2 linked regions of the Drosophila melanogaster genome follow. The protein of the gene in region 2 interacts with the protein of the main gene of each other region in a pairwise test. Each region holds a gene or a part of one and is shown on either strand. Other genes may lie near its edges.

Region 1 (7,456 bases), 4.4 Mb from region 2:
GCGTATCGGGTTGGAAGTGGGGCCAAGCAACAACATAAACAAAGTAAACTTATGCTCATGTTACTGGCATTGTTGTTAGTTCGTTCGGCTATGTGTGCGAGTTTTTCGACTGTTTGTGTAGGCGTTTAAAATTGAAATGCAAACAAGGACAATACGGAGTGCTGCGGGAAAATGTGGAAAATGGGCAAAACGGGTAGCTAAAGGGCTTCAGCTAATAAAAACCTACTCGCTCGACATTAACAATTTGCGAGTAAACGTGTGAAAAAAGCGCTTATGAACTACGCGAGTTAATTTCCACGCAGCTCAAATATTTGGAAGCACAAGAAGTACTGAAAGTTTTGAAACACAAAGCATAACGAATTGCGTATGCCCTATGTGATATGCTTGCCAAATATTAATTAAAATATATGAAATATTTCAGTGTATTTATATAAAGTTTAATTACAAGACAGCATATTTTCATAGTGCACAGTTAGTAGCCCAAAAAAATTATAAATATTTATAACTATAACTTGATATAAGTATTTCCTTTGCTGTAAATCTGAATTATTTCCAAAACCACTTGTACCCCAGCTATTTTTTCAGTACATCGATTTACAACTTTCATTGGAACATTAAACTGCTTGTTTGCTTTTAATACATGTTCTTTTGTCGAGTGGCCAGTTTGTTGGAAAAGTGGTTATACCCGCCGAGGGCTTTAAAATCAATTCCCGGCAACCTGTCTGTTTGTGCTAAAGCCAATGTGCGGCTGCGATGGGCGAAATGGGTGGCCCAGCCACCCACTCGCTAGGCAACTATTTTGCATGCAAAGTCACGTTTTATTGCAGCTACAAGCGGTCCTCGCTGGTTAACTTTTGAGCTTACCTGAGGCCAATGAGGATAGCACCTGGAGATGAATGGCTGGGCGGAGGCGGGCGTAGTTTGGGCGGTAATGGTTGGTTATGGGTGGTTATAGGTGGCTATGGGTGGCTAAGGGTGGCTATGGATGATGATGGTCGCGGGTCGCACATGCCGAACTTAAGAGACATAAAAATTATTACAAGCCGAGTGTCGAGGCGAAAGTCGAGAATGAAATTTATGCACGTTTTGGTCGCACGCACATTATGGAAATTCAATTGGATGCAAATTTAAATTGTCGCCTGAGCCACAAGACAGAGCGTTTCGATGCGATGCGATGCGATGGATTCTTCTAGGCACGCCGAGCGCCGCCCAAAAGTGTGCACCGCACAATGAATATTGATCAGTTGGTTGGAGTAGTGTCCAGTTGGCATTAACCCCACACCCGCATCAACCACTTCAATCGATTGACGGTGGAGCATTTATTTAAGCGCAAACCAAAAGTCGTTCCGAAAGTTGACTTCATTCCTGCTCGGCCAGAAACTTCAGCTTTTGGATTTTGGTTTGCAAAGCCAAATACTACGTTTTTTACTTAAGTTTATATAAATTATAAATCTCGAAAATTCTTTGTTTAGTCTTACCTTATAGGATCCCAGGTTCTTGACTGAACAAGCCAGTTTTACATTACGCCCCGCAGGCACTGTAATATTTTCGATCACATCCGTGAACTCGGGATCTTCGCTGATGACTGCGAATAGTAAAAAAAAATAAATATTTTAATAAGTAATAATAAATATCAACATAAAAATGTATATATTCATAAAAACCCCAACTTCTCATCCTTTCTTGAGAAGAGTTATCATTATTGTAGTGAGAATTTAAAGAATTCTTTTTTCACACATGCAAAAGTCTGCCTTTTGTAACAACATATATCAGATAATTTTTTGCCTTTTACAGAAGCAAATTGAACTTGACACTGTGTTCTAAATAATAAAAGAATATCAACTTTCGCACTTGATTTTGTCATATAAAAGCTATCGTATGACCACAGAACAGCTGCATAACATAGCAACCACCATGTCTGCTATTCGGGATGGCTATACCACCATGTCGTCCTTTTTTTGACGGCTAACTGTGCCACGGAAACTTCTGCTGCACCGGCAACTCATTTAAGTTCTAATCACCTGCAACGACGACAATTAATTAGCTGGCTTTGGCCAACGACAGCGGCAGCAGCAGTCATTAGTCTGAAGGCCCATCGGTACCACAAGGGAGCCATGATGCTGCAGCTTCAGCTGGAGCTGAAGCAGGAGCAAGAGTTGAATCCTTAGAGCCCTGGCAGCATCTGATAAACAACGAGCAGTGGCAACACCAGGAGAAGCAACACTAACGGCAACATCTGCATAATGCGGCAAAAGGAAGTTGCTGTCCGCTCACCCCGAAGATGTGGAAAGGTGTTCCTGGACGATACTTAAGCGAAATCAGATGCGGCAGACGGATATTAAAAGCAGGCGACAACCGCAGGAACTGGCAAAATGTAATTATGTTGTGAAACTTGTCCTTTCAAACGCTGTCAATTGCAGCACAGGCGATGTCTTCAATATAAGATATTAGTATGTGGAACTATATAGCCAAAAGCACGCAACTCTCATCATTTAAGTAGCAAAGTTTGGTTTTATTATAAATGTCATCTCATCTTAGCTCATTGCACTTGGCCCGGATCATGTTGAAGGTAACCGTGCCGACGCTTTGTGCCGCGTTGTGGAGCAGCTCAAAGATGTGCCGGTTGCGCTGACCCTGCTCCACGGTCCGCTCGTGCAAGCGACGCAGTGCGTCCGAGTAGGCCGTGTACTTGGCCTCGCACTCCGTGTCCAGCTTGAAGACCTGATACAGCTGCTGCAGATCGTACAATTGGCGTGCGGTCTCGTCGTATAGCAAACTGGGTGACTGTGGCAACAGCTGCTCCCAGTGCTCGTGCACCAGGTCTAGGAATTCAAAATTGCTAAAAAGAAAGATGACGAACAGGTCCAGTCCCTTGGTCTTCAGCTGGGCGAGAAGATGTTCGGTGATGTGCTCGCTGCTCGATGTGTCCCGCATCTCCTCGTAATCGGTGCGCAAGTGGTGCTCCAGGTACGCATACACCCGTTGACGTTTCTCGAAGAAGTCCTCCGTGGCAAGCATGACGTCCAGCTGCTGCTGCATCTTGTCCAGCTTGGCACTGCTCCCGGCCAGATCAGCATGGTCACCGTCGATGATGTCCTGCAGCAGGGAACGCAGTATGTGCAGGTAGTTGTCGATGATTTCGGCGCCGGATAACTTGACCCGCTCGTACAGCTGCGCCCCGAACTCATTGAGATCCAAGCCGGTGGAGTTCACCTCCTTTTTGGTCAGATTGAGTTGCCCCAATGCCGCCCCGACTGTCTGTTCGTTGATCAGGCGACTGCCGCGATGAGGAGCCGGTCGGTCAAGTTGCTGGCAGAGGCGGTGCATGCGCATCATTCGGATCTCTTGTGTGCTAGTCTCCTCGGCAGCCCTCAGCGTGGATCTGACTCGGTTCAGAAAGACCAGGTTGCGCAGCACAATGGTGTACTCCATATCCGTGTCCAGGTGCGGACGCACGTCGAGCAGCTGCTTGATGAGCGTCACCTTCAATTGAAGCTTTGGTGTTGCGCGAGCTGCACTCATCTCTTCGGTGTAGTTGGCATTCCGAGGAATGCGTCCTAGACGATCCAGGTAGTCGTTGAGACTCGGTTCAATCCGCTGTTGCACCAGGTCGCTTAACTCGCGCAGAAGCTCCAGCTGGAAGTCCTTCACACCAAGATCCAGCTGGGGAGCAACAGGATCCGCCTGCATGAGCGGCAAGAGGCACACCCATGGCAGCCACCACTCGATCATCATCTTAGAGGGAGCTGGCTCCAACTGATTTTGATTGCAGAAACTGCGTTGTTGTCGCCGCCAGTTGGCTGATTAGACGAAGGGGCTTAGATTGGGGTCAGTAGTCAAGTCGGTGATGCGGTTAGTTCGTCTGATATGCCAAGCCGACCACTGACGATTAACCAGTGCGAAAGCGAACTGCGCTCAGTTCGACAGCCTTATCGCTACGGAGCTGGCACTGAGAGAAATAATGGGTAATCCAATTCGTGCAAATTATATTATATTTTATTTTCTGCTAATAATCGAACGCAAATTAAGGACAGCGAAAATAAGAAAGGAAAGAGTTCAGCGCTGATTACAATTCCTCTGTCAGAAACCAGCACAATTTAATACATAACTTTTTATTTGAAGGTAATGCATTTTTATCCTTTCCCCATTTCGACAACTATTGTTCGTCGAAAGGGCATTAGTGGCAACAACTGACTGGTGAATCGGGATAGGATTGAATGAGGGAATCGATTCGCTGTAACCTGGTGCCCGTGCAACTGCAAATGGCCAGGACATTGGTCCCTACAATGTATCAAATAGTCAGCGCTCCTTCCCAATTTGTCTGTGCGGGCAATTGTTGACCGAACTCAAACTGAGCGCGTGTGCGGGATACCTATCACAAGTTAGCTTAAAGTTGCAGACTGCAGACTGCTGCCATTTGACGACAGAACTTCAGCGGAATCCCAAATGGGATGTGGCATGAATCCACATGGATTCCAAATCAGCGATGCTCGTCGTTCTTCATTCTATGGCGCAGCTTGATTGAAGTTCGTCAAATTGATTGAACTCATGCCACTTCCCCTTTGCCAACTTTTAGCGAAAACACTTGATTTCGATTTCGTTCGAACATTTCTGTGCATTAGCCTTTAATATTCGATCAAAGGGTATCTGCAACCGCATAATGGCCAACACCTTTTAAGACGAAACCCAAAACGCAAAAAAAAACTATGGAAACGGTTTGGCAAAGAGCGTAAAAATGGGGAAAAATGGTTAAGAAAAAATGAAAGGCACACCGATAAAGTTTTTAGGAAAAAAAAAAATGTAAGAAAAAATAAAAGATACCAAAAACCTGAAGAAGAAATTTTCCAACAATTGCACAATTGGCATGGGCTACGCATTCGCTTCAATGGCGAACGACCAAGACACTTTGATTCAAACTGTGGCCAAGGACAAAGGATTTCTGGAGGACGAAAGCCAAGGAGTCATGGCTGGAGGAACGGCTGCCCTCCACATTGCTGGCACTTAAGTGACAAAATCTATTCGCAAGAAAGTCATCTGGTTAGGGTATCTACTAGCCCATAGAGCTTTGCTCCGGTCACTCATGGTCGGTCATTTTATTCTTATACTTCGCCAGTGATGCCTTTGAGAAAAACTTTGCCACTTTTTCCATCATCGCCGACAGTTTTCCTTTTTTTTTTTTTTGTCTTTCTGTTTTTTCGGTAACAAAGCCGAAACTAAACTTTCCAGCGCTTTGCCAGACGGGTGGAAATTCTCGCTGGCCAGGGGCGTGAAAAGCGCTAAAAGCGTTTTAATGATTTTAAAGGAGTTAAACTTTTGTTTTTTTCAAAACACTTCTTATGCGCTTTCTTCATTGTCCGAAAAAATTGCTCTTCTTTTTGAACAATTGTTTTGGTTATACTGTGCTTTGATTTTATCGCTCATCCCGCGCGTTGACCGAGCATCATTCTAAGTTACATTCTAAGTTGTGCTCTTTTATATGAATAAATACCCTGTACTCCTAGAGGCATTGGGTATGCACACATCTATATCCAATAAAGATGTTGGACAGTCATCTGTATAAGAGAATTTTAAGTTCTTTCAGCTACATTACTTGGGATCAGAATTCCCAAAGTAAATACAAATGCGAAAAGTACTTAATGCAAGATTTCATGATTTCCATTTAAATCGAAGATATTGTCATAAAATTATCTCAGTGTATTTATCTGTCCTTCTATTTTGCTTCATTGTTTACTCAACTTGACAGATTAAGTAAATGCTTGAGGGGCCAATATAGAGCATCGCACATACATATATTTATCAACTGTGCATTTTCTATCTCAAAAGTGCGAACTTTAAGCTTTATGGAAAAAATAAGTTTGTCTGTAGCATTAAACCGAAGGAGGCACTCCATCAAACCCATGGAGGTTAATAGTGTTAATACATTTAGAGACATGTCGACCAGGTAAAAGGAGCAAGTATCTTAGTATCTGACATGGCTGCTGCATCTCGGTTAGAGGCTGCATTGTTCCGCATCTGAGGTCTCCTCTAGTCTGCCGTACGTTTGCAGTCCAAGCAGTGTAGAGTCCGAGAAAAGCGGGGAAAAGCTTATAAGGACAAGGAGTCTTGGGGCACGGGGTAAGTTCAATCAAGCAAATGTAATTCTGCCCCGACTGCCAATTGCAGGCAAGAGCACAAACAACAAAGATTGAATGGAGCACTGACAGTTTGACTGGGTGAATGAGTGACATAGGTATGTGTGTTCTTAAAGCCGCTTCTGTTGTTTTTGTCGTCACACATGATGTTTAGGCATGTTGGTTCGTATGCAGCCAAGAAAGAGGTGAATTTCAAAAGTGGACTATATAAACAGGGTGTAAGTAACTGCCAAGCCAAGCAAGCAAAAGTTGCACAGCAATACACACAACACGCTAGTCCCAATATTTGTCTATGTATGTACAACCCTTAACTATGATCAATGTCGCATGCTTACATCGTATTGGCAATAAAAGGGTATGCTGCATTCGTTGAATAATAGAGTGGAGTAGAAGGTAAGAGCAAGCCTACACTCGTATTTGTGCATACACACACACTATTGGTAAGCAAAGTCAGGAGCTACTCATGCAGAAATGCGCATAACTGCCTTGCAGACAGAGATTCACCTTCACACAAATGCAAAAGTTTAAGTAGCCCCAAGCCATTCTGGGGCGCCGTAGAATGAGCCCCTGCCATCGGACTCCATCAGGCACTAAGTACTGCTCTATTAACCAAGAACCAACAACAACAAAAACAAGAGCAGACGGTGTGGTCCCGACTGCCATTCGACAGCAAGGACTCTGGAAACAGGACGAATGCAAACAGGCCAGCCTCGCAGGACCTTCTCTTAATTATGCACTTTGTGCCGCACACCATACCCACACTGAATTGATTGGTCTGTGTGTACTCGATAATAATTATAGGGCCTAAGTAGCATTAGAACGGCTAATGGGCAATGTCCTTGCTGTTTGCTTAGTCCTGCACATATGCTAAACATTTTTGGATGACCAAATCATCCAACTATAGAAGTAAATTAAGGTCGATTTATTAATGGCAATTCGCACCATTGGTTGGTTTTCGATTTTTACGACATTCATATGCATATTCTTGTTAATTGGGTGAGTGGTTAAATTTACAAGCACTGCTTTTCTGGTATGTAAACCAGAAAGGTTCCTGAGAATCTTTTGGTTCAACACTCACGCCTCTCTAATTGCCAATTTCCGCAAAAACACAAGTAATAATTTGAACTGAATGTTCCAATGAGTATGTTACAAAGTTTGGCAGAGCAAGCCGCGTGTTGCAAATTGGTTTTTGTTGCAGCGGGAAGAGCAAATGCAACACCTCTTAACGAGTCACTTTCCCAATCGCCACGTGCCACCTGAAAAACCCCCATTGCAAATGACTGCATGCAGAAGTTCAAAAGAAAGATTGTCTTAAATCACAAGCA
Region 2 (11,504 bases):
GGAAAACCCCTTCGTCCACTGGCTGCAACATTAATACTTTGGCATTATGGTTTTAACCCAATTTGGCCTCTCTTTACCCAGTTAGATGCAGGCAAAGCAAAAAATAATCCGAAAAAATCGAGAAGCGGAGGTAAAAGTTGCAGGCTCATGTCAGTGGGTTTTTCATTGCTTTTCAGTGGGCGTGTCGTCGGCATTTTCCGACCCTGCGCTTCGCTTGTGTGTGTGTGTGTGTGGGTGTGTGCATTAAAGTTGCAAATTGGTTTTTGTGGATTTTCGCGTCTAAGGCCGGGGAAAATGCAGTTTTCCGCCCGCCAGCTAAAAAGAAAAAGGCCACGTGCTTAATTAAATTGCTCGAAACAGAGAAAAAATCAAATAGCGAAACTTTGAAAACGACGCTTATGCTATGTGCAAGAGCCAGCAAATTTTGATTAGGTTCAGCCATGGGGGGTTGGATTCTAATGGCCTTAAATTAATGAATAAATAATGGAATTTATGCCATCCTATCATCTGCCAGCCAGCCGGAAGTAGGTTAAGGGTTTTTTTTTTCGATGCGGTTGTTTGCATAACAATTGTGCAAATGCATAGTTGGTGGCAAGAGCTGTAATGACTTTTAATTCACCAATTGAAATTTCATTTGAATTTGCATTTTGTGGAAGTGCGCCTGAAACGATGCCATAAATGAAGAGTTGTTGCAGTGAAATTGGGCCAGATAAGTATGCAAAATGAACATCGCTGCTTGGAGATTGCCACTCAACTACAATATATTATTTTATTAAATAAGACACATTAATCGGGGCAAACAAATGCCATGCAATATTCTATAATTGCATAAATAAATGAAGCATTGGTCAACTAACATGTGCCTACCATTTTTAGCCTGGCTACTCTGTTATTGAAAATTTATCGCCAAGCAATTATTGTCGACATAAAGCAATTTAATGTGTTTTCATAAACCAATTCTAATGGCATTTCTGTGCCAGCACTGAATTGCATTTCACATCCCCGCGCTCAACTGCAATACTCCCACTCAATTATAAATCGATGGAATGCAAATTGCAGCTGCATCTCATGTCCGTACAATTTATTTCGAGAATTTATTCAGCCCCTCCCCCCACCCCCCTTCATGACATTCCTGAGTGTGAATAATGCCCCTGGCTGATGATTTGCCCCTTTCCTCCTGCGGTTTTCTAATGCAGCCAAAGCAGCCGCAGTGCCAAATGTGCGCCAGCATCCAGCATCTAGAATCCCTGCCACACGGAGTCCCATCGGCAGCAGCTGCTGTCGCCAAGGGGCACTCAAATTAAGCGACATTTAATGTCACACCTTCTTGGTGCAAAGGGGGGTATGGTTAGGGGCGGGTGGCATGCCCCCGTGTGCGAGTGAGCGGCGAACATCTGTTTGCCTTCAAAGTTGTGGCGTGCGGCTTGTGCGGGCTGCCCGAATGCAAAGGATACAAGTTTGCATTCTAGCCACAAAAATGTGAGGCGGTCAGGGGAAAGGGAAGTGCGGCGACTACAGGCGGCCGGGTGAGAGGAGATGAGACAAAGGTGAGCTATGTAGACAGGTGCAACAGCTGTGGCTTGTCGATGGCCTAAAGAGCTCCAAGTCAGAGCCTTTTCGCCTTTTGAAATGCACTCGAAAAGAACTTAGATAAAAGTGTTATTTTCTACCTGGCTAAAATCATGTTGATAGTTATACAAGCTTAGAAGTTACAAAGTAATCTACTTATGCATGTCTAATAACTCTTGGAATTTTCAAAAAGTAAAATATTTGCTCTGTATTCTCTTTTTCGTGTTCCTTTCGTGCCTTCCTTGCCTTTTCCTGCCTGGTTTTTCCTTATCGCCTGCCAACGAGGCAGTCATCTTGTCCGAGATTCTCGGCTGTGGCATCATTTGCAGGCAATTGCCAAGGCAACACCTTCCCCTTCAAACTGGGCCTTTTTTCCGAATGCCTGGCGTCTGGTGTGAGTGTTTAAAAATTTCATTGCAACGCTCATTTTGTCTGTCCAGGCTTAGGTAAACTGCAGCAGGCAAAGGGCAAGGGAACTATGTGATGATGGCTTCTTTTCCTGCACTTCCGCTGTCTGTGTCCATGTCACTTTTTCTGGCCCCGTCCTTTTGTCCTGTCTCCATTGCTGTCGCTCCCCGGAGGACGAGCCTCTGTACATCCGTGTGTTTGTGTCTAAATGTTTTTCCAAATAAATGAAATTGTTCTCTCTGTTTGGGAAGACTATAGTTTGTCTGGAGGGAGGCGAGATTTGAATTTGCCTAAGGCCTTTATGCTTCTTACTAGGCAGTGGACTAATAAGTGTCTTTCCATAGTTTAATTCTCTAATTTAAGTTTTCATAAGATATTTAGTTTGTTATTTACTCTAATTTCCTGTTTAAAGTCTGCCGTAATTAGACAAATTGAAGTTTAGCAGTGGAAAGTGTAACACATCCACGTCGTATTACCACATCCAACAGCATTTCTGTCGTATTTTGGCTACATATTTCGCCCAAATTGCGAGATTTATATTGAGAGTAGACGGAAAGGGAGGGGGAATCCTGCGAGGAAGGGGACCCTAAATGGGGAGAGGTGAGCACAGCTTGCTGTGAGGACACTTGGGAGCCAATACGGAGAAAATCAGAGCGAGTGAGAGAGAGGTGACTGTTGCCGTTTGTGTGCCTACACTGCGTATACGTAATTTGCCGAGTCTGTTGCCAAAGTGGCATTTGAATTTATGCCGCCACTTGAGGCAAGTGTGGCACGCCCAGCAGTGTGAGCGCTGCATTCGCATGCGCCTCCTTCCTACACTCGAGCATGAGTTTCTGCTGCAAAGCAGCAGCAGTGCGCTTTATTTTAAATTAAACATGCAAATATCCCTGGCACCCACATCCTTTGCTGCGACTGCTTGTTTTCTTGCTGGCTGTCTGCTGCAGACAGGCAACATAAATTATTGTAAGCAGATGAAATATTTGTGGATGAATTTGTTGCAGCTGTCGAGTGCAGCCAGCGCACATTCTCCGCTCGCCCAGCTTCACGATTGCCGCCTGAATATCTCCCCTCGAAACTTTAAGCTCCACTCGGTTGTGCAGCTTAAACAGAACAACAAAATGGGGAGCTAAATGAAAAATGTTCTACAGTACCTACCCCCTTCCCTCTTCGATTATTTTCTCGTGGAAAAACATTTGATTTAAAAATGAAAATAAATATAAAGCGAATTTCAGTTCATTGTAAGACTAGATGGTTTAAAAAAATGTGCACTTTCTACCTTTTTGTATATTAAGAAGAAATAGGAAAATATTTTTTGAGTGCACCCACAAAGGAGATGAAAAGCGTTGGGGGCGAAGGGGGGGTCGGGAACACACACACAGCACACAGGATGTCCTCGGTGGAAGATGAAGCTGGCAATTTTATCATTTTTCACTTTGGTAAACAAACATAAAAGGAGCAAGTGGGTTAAGGAAAATATTGCGGCTTTTGTTGTGGCAACCTTAATCGCCCGCTACCCCCCCTCCCCCCAACCGCTTAACGTCCCTGCCCTCCCTGCAGCCCCCGCGCCCCTCTGCGATCGAATGTCATTCAAATTGTAATTTCTGCAGCCTCCATCGTCGGAGAACAATCGATAAAAAAGGATAAAGCAAAGAGCACAACAATGGAGGGATAACAAAGGAGCAGGAGCACAAAAAGAGGGAAAACGATGGAAAAGCGGAGCATTCGGCGAGGAAAGCGGAGGAAAAGCGAGGGCAGACAGTCAAAAGCAAACAATAAACAGCGAAATCATTCCGTGCATCCCTCTGGAAAAGGTGGCATTGTGCAATAACAGCGCGTTTCAAAATTGTAAAATCAATTTCGTGAAGAATGATAAAGACACGTAACGTGTAACAAAAAAATGAGCTTACAATTTCATTTCCTAGTTGCCAAACCAACTTTGAAAATCTGTGCTCGTTAAATGGAATAGAAGGCATTACTAATTTATAAGCTGCTTTCTTTTGCAACAAATCCAAGAAAAAGAACCCTCCTCCCTATCCATTAAGCACTGTACTCCTCGCTGGGGACATTAAATTTTCTGGCCTTAAGCAGCCCTTGGCTAATAGGCCAAGTTGGCTCGTTTTGCAAACATTTGCCCAGCACTTTGGCGGCGCTTCGCCTGGGCCAACCTGCCATCCTTGGGCTAATGAGCGAACAAAAGAGTTTGGAGGCGGGCGAATCGCCACTCTTACGTGCAAATTCGATAGTCAGCAGGTCTATCTATGAGTTATTTGTCAAATTTAACACCAGCAACACAAGTAACAACAATGGGTCAGATGCATTGCTCACCCGAAGATGCCTCGCTCAGGTCCGATTTGGTCCTCATCCGCAGCTTTGTCGTCTATAAGGGACGTCCTCCAGATCATGCCACTCGCTTTGATATATCCATGCTAGTTAGCCACATCAACGTAGGTGGCGTCATGCATGCGGCCACGGGTGGCAAGACTTTTCCCACGCTCAAAGTAAAATTGTGCTTCGGTGAATCAATGGGTAAGAATTGCCATCGAGGCATTCTGTCTCTACTAAACCTCACTATTTAATTTTGAAATTGTTCAATGATGTTTTGTATATATGTGTAAATACAAATGTGTGTATTGCTCTCACTTTGTGCACATGCTTCAAATGAAATTATTCCACCCCATAAACTTAATTAATTATAGATGGCTATCAGCAGGCAGGACGACATGAAAACATCAAGCATACGCCTCGTTGCTCGTTTGGCATAAGTAATTGATTCGGCAAAGAAATAGACTTATTTATAATTCAATAATTCTAACCAAAAATATAATGAAAACAATCGACCGAATTTCCAGTGCCCAAGTGTGAATATTCTATTAGATGCTTAACTCGAGGCGAAATCTAAATCGATTTGCTCGGCGTTATGGAATTAGATCCAGCTCTAAGTTCTTTTAATTACTTTTATTTTGATGTCGTTAAGTAACTTTTGATAAGGGAATTATCTCTGTCTCTATTTTGTCCTTTCTGTGTGGGTGTTCGTGTTCACTTGGGGCGTTATCCACCTGCCATCCCACATCATTTCAGCTGCGACTGTCAAAAGTCGGCCTCATCAGTCATTGCTGCTCCGCCGCCGCCGTTTGCCCCTCGCAGCTTTCACTTGACATTTATCCTCATCATCATGCCCATCATCTGTATCAACATCATCATCATCACCATCCTGGCACGTCGCGCTTTAACCTTCGGAAGGCATTTTCATTTAGCCGCCTCTCCCCTCGGCTTTGTTTGTCAGCTCGCCACTTTGGTGACTTTCCCAGCTTTTCCGCCGTCACCCTGTCGCTGGTCCTTAATTAAAAACGATTAGTAATTCCTGTTCAGCCATCGGGCCAAAGGTCGTTTGCTGCAGCGCCATTAAATATGCAGTGGAAATACTTTAATTATACAAATAACCAGGAATTCTCGTAGCAGGACGCCAAAAAGGGCAAGCTCGTTTTCCGCAGAAAGTAACTTTTCATTGTGGGCACTTTGTGGGCCGTTCGGGCATTTTTCTGCCATCGAAATACGTACATATTCCTATCGCCTTGGCCAAATCAAACGGAAGTTGTTCGTTTCGCGCGAAATATGAACAAGTTAGGAATTCTGGACGTGTGTTGGCCAATGGGGGCTTTGGAAATACGAAAGAAATTGGTAACGAAATGAATTCGTTTTCGAATGTCAGGCACGCAAACTTTGCCTACCACCGACCTATACCCCCTCCTCGAATATTCTATTATTTGTACTTTTTCCGAGGGGGAGTGAGTGGGTCCTGCGGTGGCAGGACCACCACCACCCCCTTTCGGCCACAATTGGCCTGGGTTTCGTTTGCACGTTACTCGCTTTGCGGTCCTTCGTGGTCTGTACTTTTTTCGCACTCCTGCGGTCCCTGGCTTAGCTGGATTTTGTGGTCCGCTGTGGGAGCCGGGCTTAAGTGCATTTCACCGAGGTTAACTAGCCGGATGGTCTGACTTTCCTGGGGTTAATTTGGGCTTACCATCGGCAGAGATTCCCCATAAATACATTACCAATTTTTGGCACTGCCATTGCAGTCGGCATTAAGTCTTGTCTATGTCCCACCGAAATTATCTTTTGGGTTTTTTTTTAAGTTTTAATAATAGATTTTTAAACTGGAATGATTTTCTTCTGGGAAAATAGTCTTCTTTTCCGAAGGCATAAAGACATTGGAAAATTGGTTCGTGCTTTTCGTGAAAATTTAACTATAATTTCTCTTTGCTTCAAGACATTTGAACTTAGTTTTCCCCTTCGAAGTTACTTAGCATATTAAATGCAACAACTGTGTTTTTCTCGATTTTCTCACCTCCTTGAAGTTTTCCGCTTTGTTTCTGTCACCGACTTACATTTTTACATGGTGAAAAGTCAAAGCTACAGCAACAACTGAACTGCAATAATGCCAAATGAAAGTTTTTCGCCGAATTGAGATTGGGGGGAGCAGCAGGAGTCTCGTAACTACAGGGTTAAGCTTTCAAGGAATCGGTTGGGGGGTGGAGAAAAGGTCCTGACGTGACAGTGGGGAACCTCTTGTTTTCGATTTCAGCCGGCGATAAGCGACAAACAACGCATTAAGTGTCGTTTCCCTGGCTATTTTCGGTTTGGCATTGGGTTAAGTCATAAAAAATTGAAACGTAATTGATTGGAAGTTTGTTGAGGGCGCACTAAAATGGGTGGAATGGAATAAAATGGGCATTGACGTAGTCGCCTGGCCAAATTAGTTGTCCTGTAATTTTAGGCACCATCGGAAGTCGTTGAGCCCAGAGTTATAGCGACGGATGGAGGCTCGACGTTGATGGCGACATTGGCAAACAGTTGACATGACGGCAAAGTTGCCGAAACTTTAACCATTAAACTCAATTACCAGAAAAGTTGGTGGCCCGCTATTTGTAAGGCGCTCCATTCCCCTCATTGCCGAACTATACAGTTAAAAATTGCAATTATAAGCCTTATGTAATACGTCATACTTTCCATACTTTCCGCTCACTTTAGGAATCTCCTCCTTGTCGAGCTGCGGCGATCCGGAGCGTCTGCCTGAGCTGCCCCCCCTGGACGAGCAGCGTCTTCAGCGGGCCGCATTGCATCTGCAGCAAAAGCTGATCCTGCGCGAGTGGCTAAAGGATCACCGGCTGCAGCATCACTACCAACGGCTGCTGGCCGTGGAGGTCGCCTCGCTGGAGGACGTCTACTGGCTGGAGGACTCACGGGCCAGCAAGATCCTCGGCAAGGACTGGCAGCTTTGGTCGGGAGCACGGCAGAACCTGCCCACGTCCAAGGCCCAATTGGACGCCCTGAAGGCGCAGCTCTGGTCGACTGTGGTCAAGAGCAGCCAGCATCAGGACGCATGGACATGGGGCGGCATGCTGGTCGTATCCGTCTCAGTCGCCGGCCTCGTCACCCTGGCTGCCATGACGCAGCCTTCATTGGCCCCAGAGGTAAACGCCAGAGGATTTTAAATACCGATTGGGTTACGGATTGTTCACTACATCATTTTTACTCGTAGGCCCGCCATTCCCTGCTGCAATATGTCACCGGAAAGTATCTGCTGCCTGCCAATTGCAAGGTGCAGTGGGACTGGAAGGATCCCGCCAGCGTGGGCGGCACCATGTGCTTCGTGGTGCGCTTCTTCCAGCGCAACGGCCAGCCATATCCCATCTGTGATACGGACCACTTCTTTGTCGAGGTCACCGAGGGCACTCGCAAGGTGGTCACCATTAGCGAGCTGGGCTCCTCCACCGATCCCAACAACGCCAACATCGCCAAGGTCAAGTTCACGGTTCGCACTGCGGGCCAGTACAAGATATCCGTGCTGATTGGCGCCAGCCACATCGCCGGATCGCCCTTTCTGCGATCCTTCCTGCCAGGAGCCATCGATGCCAGGCGCTCCAGGTTCATCAGGCCCGCCAGCACGGTCATCTGCTGCGCAGGTGCACCCACTTTGATGCACATCGAGCCACGGGATGAGTTCGGCAACTCCTGTCTGTTCGACCAGAATCAATCGGATGAGGCGCTGCAGGTACAGGATGTTCATTTTCCTTAGAACGCTTTTAGCTAACTTTTTTGGGTAACTTTGCAGGGCTACCAAGTGGCAATATACGACCTGCATGGAGTTCCAGTGGAGAAACTGCAGCATGCGATTGTCTTCGCCTACGACAAGGTCAACTCCCGAGTCTCGGTGACTGCTCTGTTTCCGGAACCGACTTGTCTACGGGCAGTGATCAGCTACCGGGATCAGCAGCTGCCCAACGGCGACTTCGACATCATTGTGTTGAGCAGTAAGTGTGGGGATCTTTACAGGCTCTTTACAGGGAGTAAATAAATTTGTAACCCCTCCCAGGCAGCGACACCACCTTGGTGCACAAGAACATAGCCTCCCGGAAGCACAACATCTGCTACGAGGCCAAACTGCTGAGTATTTTCGGTGTGTCCAAGAACAAGCCGAGGAAGGTGCTCTGCTATGTGGGACCCAAACAGGTGAGTGGTTATCTGGGCAGCACGTTGACATCGGGTGAAATGTGAGGGCTCAGAACTCGCTGATCTTCCAGGTGACCATCAAGGAGATGATCCTCAAGTTCATCCCCAAGAGGATTGCCACATTCCGGCTGTGTCCCTCGACCAAGTTCCATTTCCTGCCGCAGTTGGTGTCCCAGCTGCACGGCCCTGTTTTCATCATAGACGACGGAGCCCAACCCAAGATTGAGTTGGCCTCCAAGGATCGGAATATCATAGCTGCCACCTTCACCCATTTTCTGCTGAAGAACATTGGTGGATCGGAGACCTTCAAGGACAAGCAGGACTTCTTTTACCACGAGGTTCGCAAATTCCATGCCAGCTACTATCACGAGAAGATGGCCCTGAAAGTGCAGCGCGAGAAGATCCTGGAGAGCAGCATGAAGGCCGTCAAGGGCTTCTCGGTGTCCGACTGGTGTGGCAACTTCGAGGTCACCTTCCAGGGTGAACAGGGCATCGACTGGGGAGGTTTGCGGAGGGAGTGGTTTGAGCTGGTCTGCAGTGCACTCTTCGACGCCCGCGGAGGTCTCTTCTGCACCTTCCACGACAAGCACCAGGCGCTGGTCCATCCGAATCCCACCCGTCCAGCCCATCTGAAGCTGAAGCACTTTGAATTCGCCGGCAAGATGGTGGGAAAGTGTCTGTTTGAGAGCGCCCTGGGCGGCACCTATCGTCAGCTGGTCAGAGCCAGATTCAGTCGCTCTTTTCTGGCTCAACTTATTGGTCTGAGGGTGCATTACAAGGTTAGTCGGCAAAAACGAGATAATTAATCATGTTCCTATCTAAATTCGTTCCTTACCTACCAGTACTTCGAACAGGACGATCCCGACTTGTACCTGTCCAAGATCAAGTACATTCTGGACACCGATCTGGATGCCACGGACACGCTGGAGCTGTACTTCGTGGAGGAGATGTACGACTCCAGTAGTGGACAGCTGAGCAAGACCATCGAACTGATACCCAACGGGGCCAAGACGCGGGTGACCAATGCCACCAAGAACCAGTACCTGGATGCCCTGGCTCAGCAGCGTCTGTGCAACAACGTCAAGGATGAAGTGGATAGCTTCCTGAAGGGTCTAAATTCCATTATACCGGATAACCTTCTCAGCATTTTCGATGAAAACGAACTGGAGGTGAGTGTTATTATAAACTTTTATAATTAGCTAATTTAATTTCACAGCGCTAAATAAACATTTTCTCGTGTGCAGCTGCTGATGTGCGGAACTGGGGAATACTCCATCAGCGACTTTAAGGCGCACCACATCGCCAACGGCAATTCGGCTGAGTTTCGGCGGGTTTTGGCCTGGTTTTGGGCCGGAGTGAGCAACTTCAGCCAGACGGAGATGGCCCGCCTGCTGCAGTTCACCACGGGATGCTCCCAGCTGCCGCCCGGGGGATTCCAGGAGCTAAATCCGCAGTTCCAGATAACGGCGGCTCCGACCTTTGGCAACCTGCCCACGGCGCACACCTGGTGGGTGAACTTTATCCATCGTCTATTATTTGCCTTTAATCTCGGCGTTCTCTAAAAAACGAAACTTTTTCGATTGCAGTTTCAACCAGCTGTGTTTGCCCGACTACGAGAGCTACGAGCAGTTCGAGAAGTCGCTGCTTTTGGCCATCAGCGAGGGCAGCGAGGGATTCGGCATGGTCTAGATATATAGGATAATGGAGAGTAGAGGAGGGGGGTGGCTATAGCCATCGGTTTTTGTCTGCTACGCTACTGTGTTCCTTTCTGTGCGCTTTATATGTCATGCTAGCAACTAAGTGAACTAGTCCGTAAGCCTGCCTAGTGATAATTGCAATTAAATTCAGTCCCTGGCTAGGTATATTATTATCCCTCGGCTGATGATCCCTTAAGCAATAATAATCACGGATTAGCCGGCGTAGCGTGTGTAGTCATAGTCGAGTCAAGATGCAAATTAAAACCGAATATATATCATCATCAAAAGGAATGTGATACTTGTATAATAGACTAATGCAACCTAAGCGTTATGGGAATCTTTTAAACTACCTATCGGTAATTCAAATAAGTAGCCATAATTCCGAAAACTACTCTAATTAACTGTTAGTTGCGCTGTGTAAAGAGACCCCCGAGAAACCCAAGCTGGTGGCAAACCAAGAGTTTGTAGCATACTGAACTAAGAACTAATTGTAATCGTTATATTGTCAAAACATTCACAATGAGCAATGTTTATATGCATTTCTTCTATCGAAAATCCAAATATATTAGGCCAAATTCTGGTCCAACTCGAATACAATCCCAAATCCTTCTCCCTCGCTGTGCTCTCCTAAAAGCAATATGTGGAAGCAAATGTTGAAACGTAGTTTTTAAATGTTGTTGATTCGCAAAGCAAAAATCAAAGAAGTCATACTAATTAAAATTTAGTAAATGTAATGGAATTGTAGTTGTTGAGGGAACTCTAAAAGCTTATATATCAATCGGTTGGCGGAGGGTTGATTCAAATGGTTAAAAGTAATAAAAATCTACTGTTTAGAACGGAAGTGCTGGTGTTTTATTGGCGTACGGCTCACATAAAAGACATGGTAAGATGTTTTTTATTTTTACTTTTTCATTACGCATTATAAAATGCACTTCCACTTATGCACTTATATAAGTTGTATACTTCTTCATGGTAAATTGTACCTGTTGATATTAAATACCATAGAAACCGGTGTCATAAGAGTCGAACCACTTTCTTTTCAAGGTCTCCAGAGGTCACCTGAACAAACGCGACTTTAAGGAAAGCCAATAAACTCAAAGAGGGTTACGCAAGTCCCCTTGGAGAAGCTTATCTTCTATGAACTGTACTTCAGTCCAAAGTCTCTTATGACCAGATATATGCAGTGAGAGTTTGGCGGAGCGTGAGTGTCAAATTACGGGGTACCACCAATCAACATTTTGTAGCCATCAAACGCGTGCTCATCCAGTCAAGTGTGCGTTTGCATTTAAACAATTATTAGCAACTAATTAGAGTATGGAT

The links.
Region 1: the proteins of CG4238 (region 2) and CG42369 interact in a two-hybrid assay, tested with the Drosophila melanogaster proteins (one large-scale study listed by BioGRID).

The regions. Positions count from the first base shown.
Region 1 is NT_033779.5:6,393,359-6,400,814, forward strand, and holds CG42369 (uncharacterized protein), read right to left. Parts: upstream 3,892-7,456; 5' UTR 3,736-3,891; coding exon 2,530-3,735; 3' UTR 2,495-2,529; downstream 1-2,494. Other genes in the region: DIP-epsilon (Dpr-interacting protein epsilon), read right to left, coding at 1,479-1,585.
Region 2 is NT_033779.5:2,019,763-2,031,266, forward strand, and holds CG4238 (uncharacterized protein), read left to right. Parts: upstream 1-4,249; 5' UTR 4,250-4,280; coding exon 4,281-4,503; intron 4,504-7,005; coding exon 7,006-7,448; intron 7,449-7,516; coding exon 7,517-8,029; intron 8,030-8,089; coding exon 8,090-8,288; intron 8,289-8,350; coding exon 8,351-8,487; intron 8,488-8,540; coding exon 8,541-9,266; intron 9,267-9,329; coding exon 9,330-9,656; intron 9,657-9,731; coding exon 9,732-9,994; intron 9,995-10,073; coding exon 10,074-10,176; 3' UTR 10,177-11,026; downstream 11,027-11,504.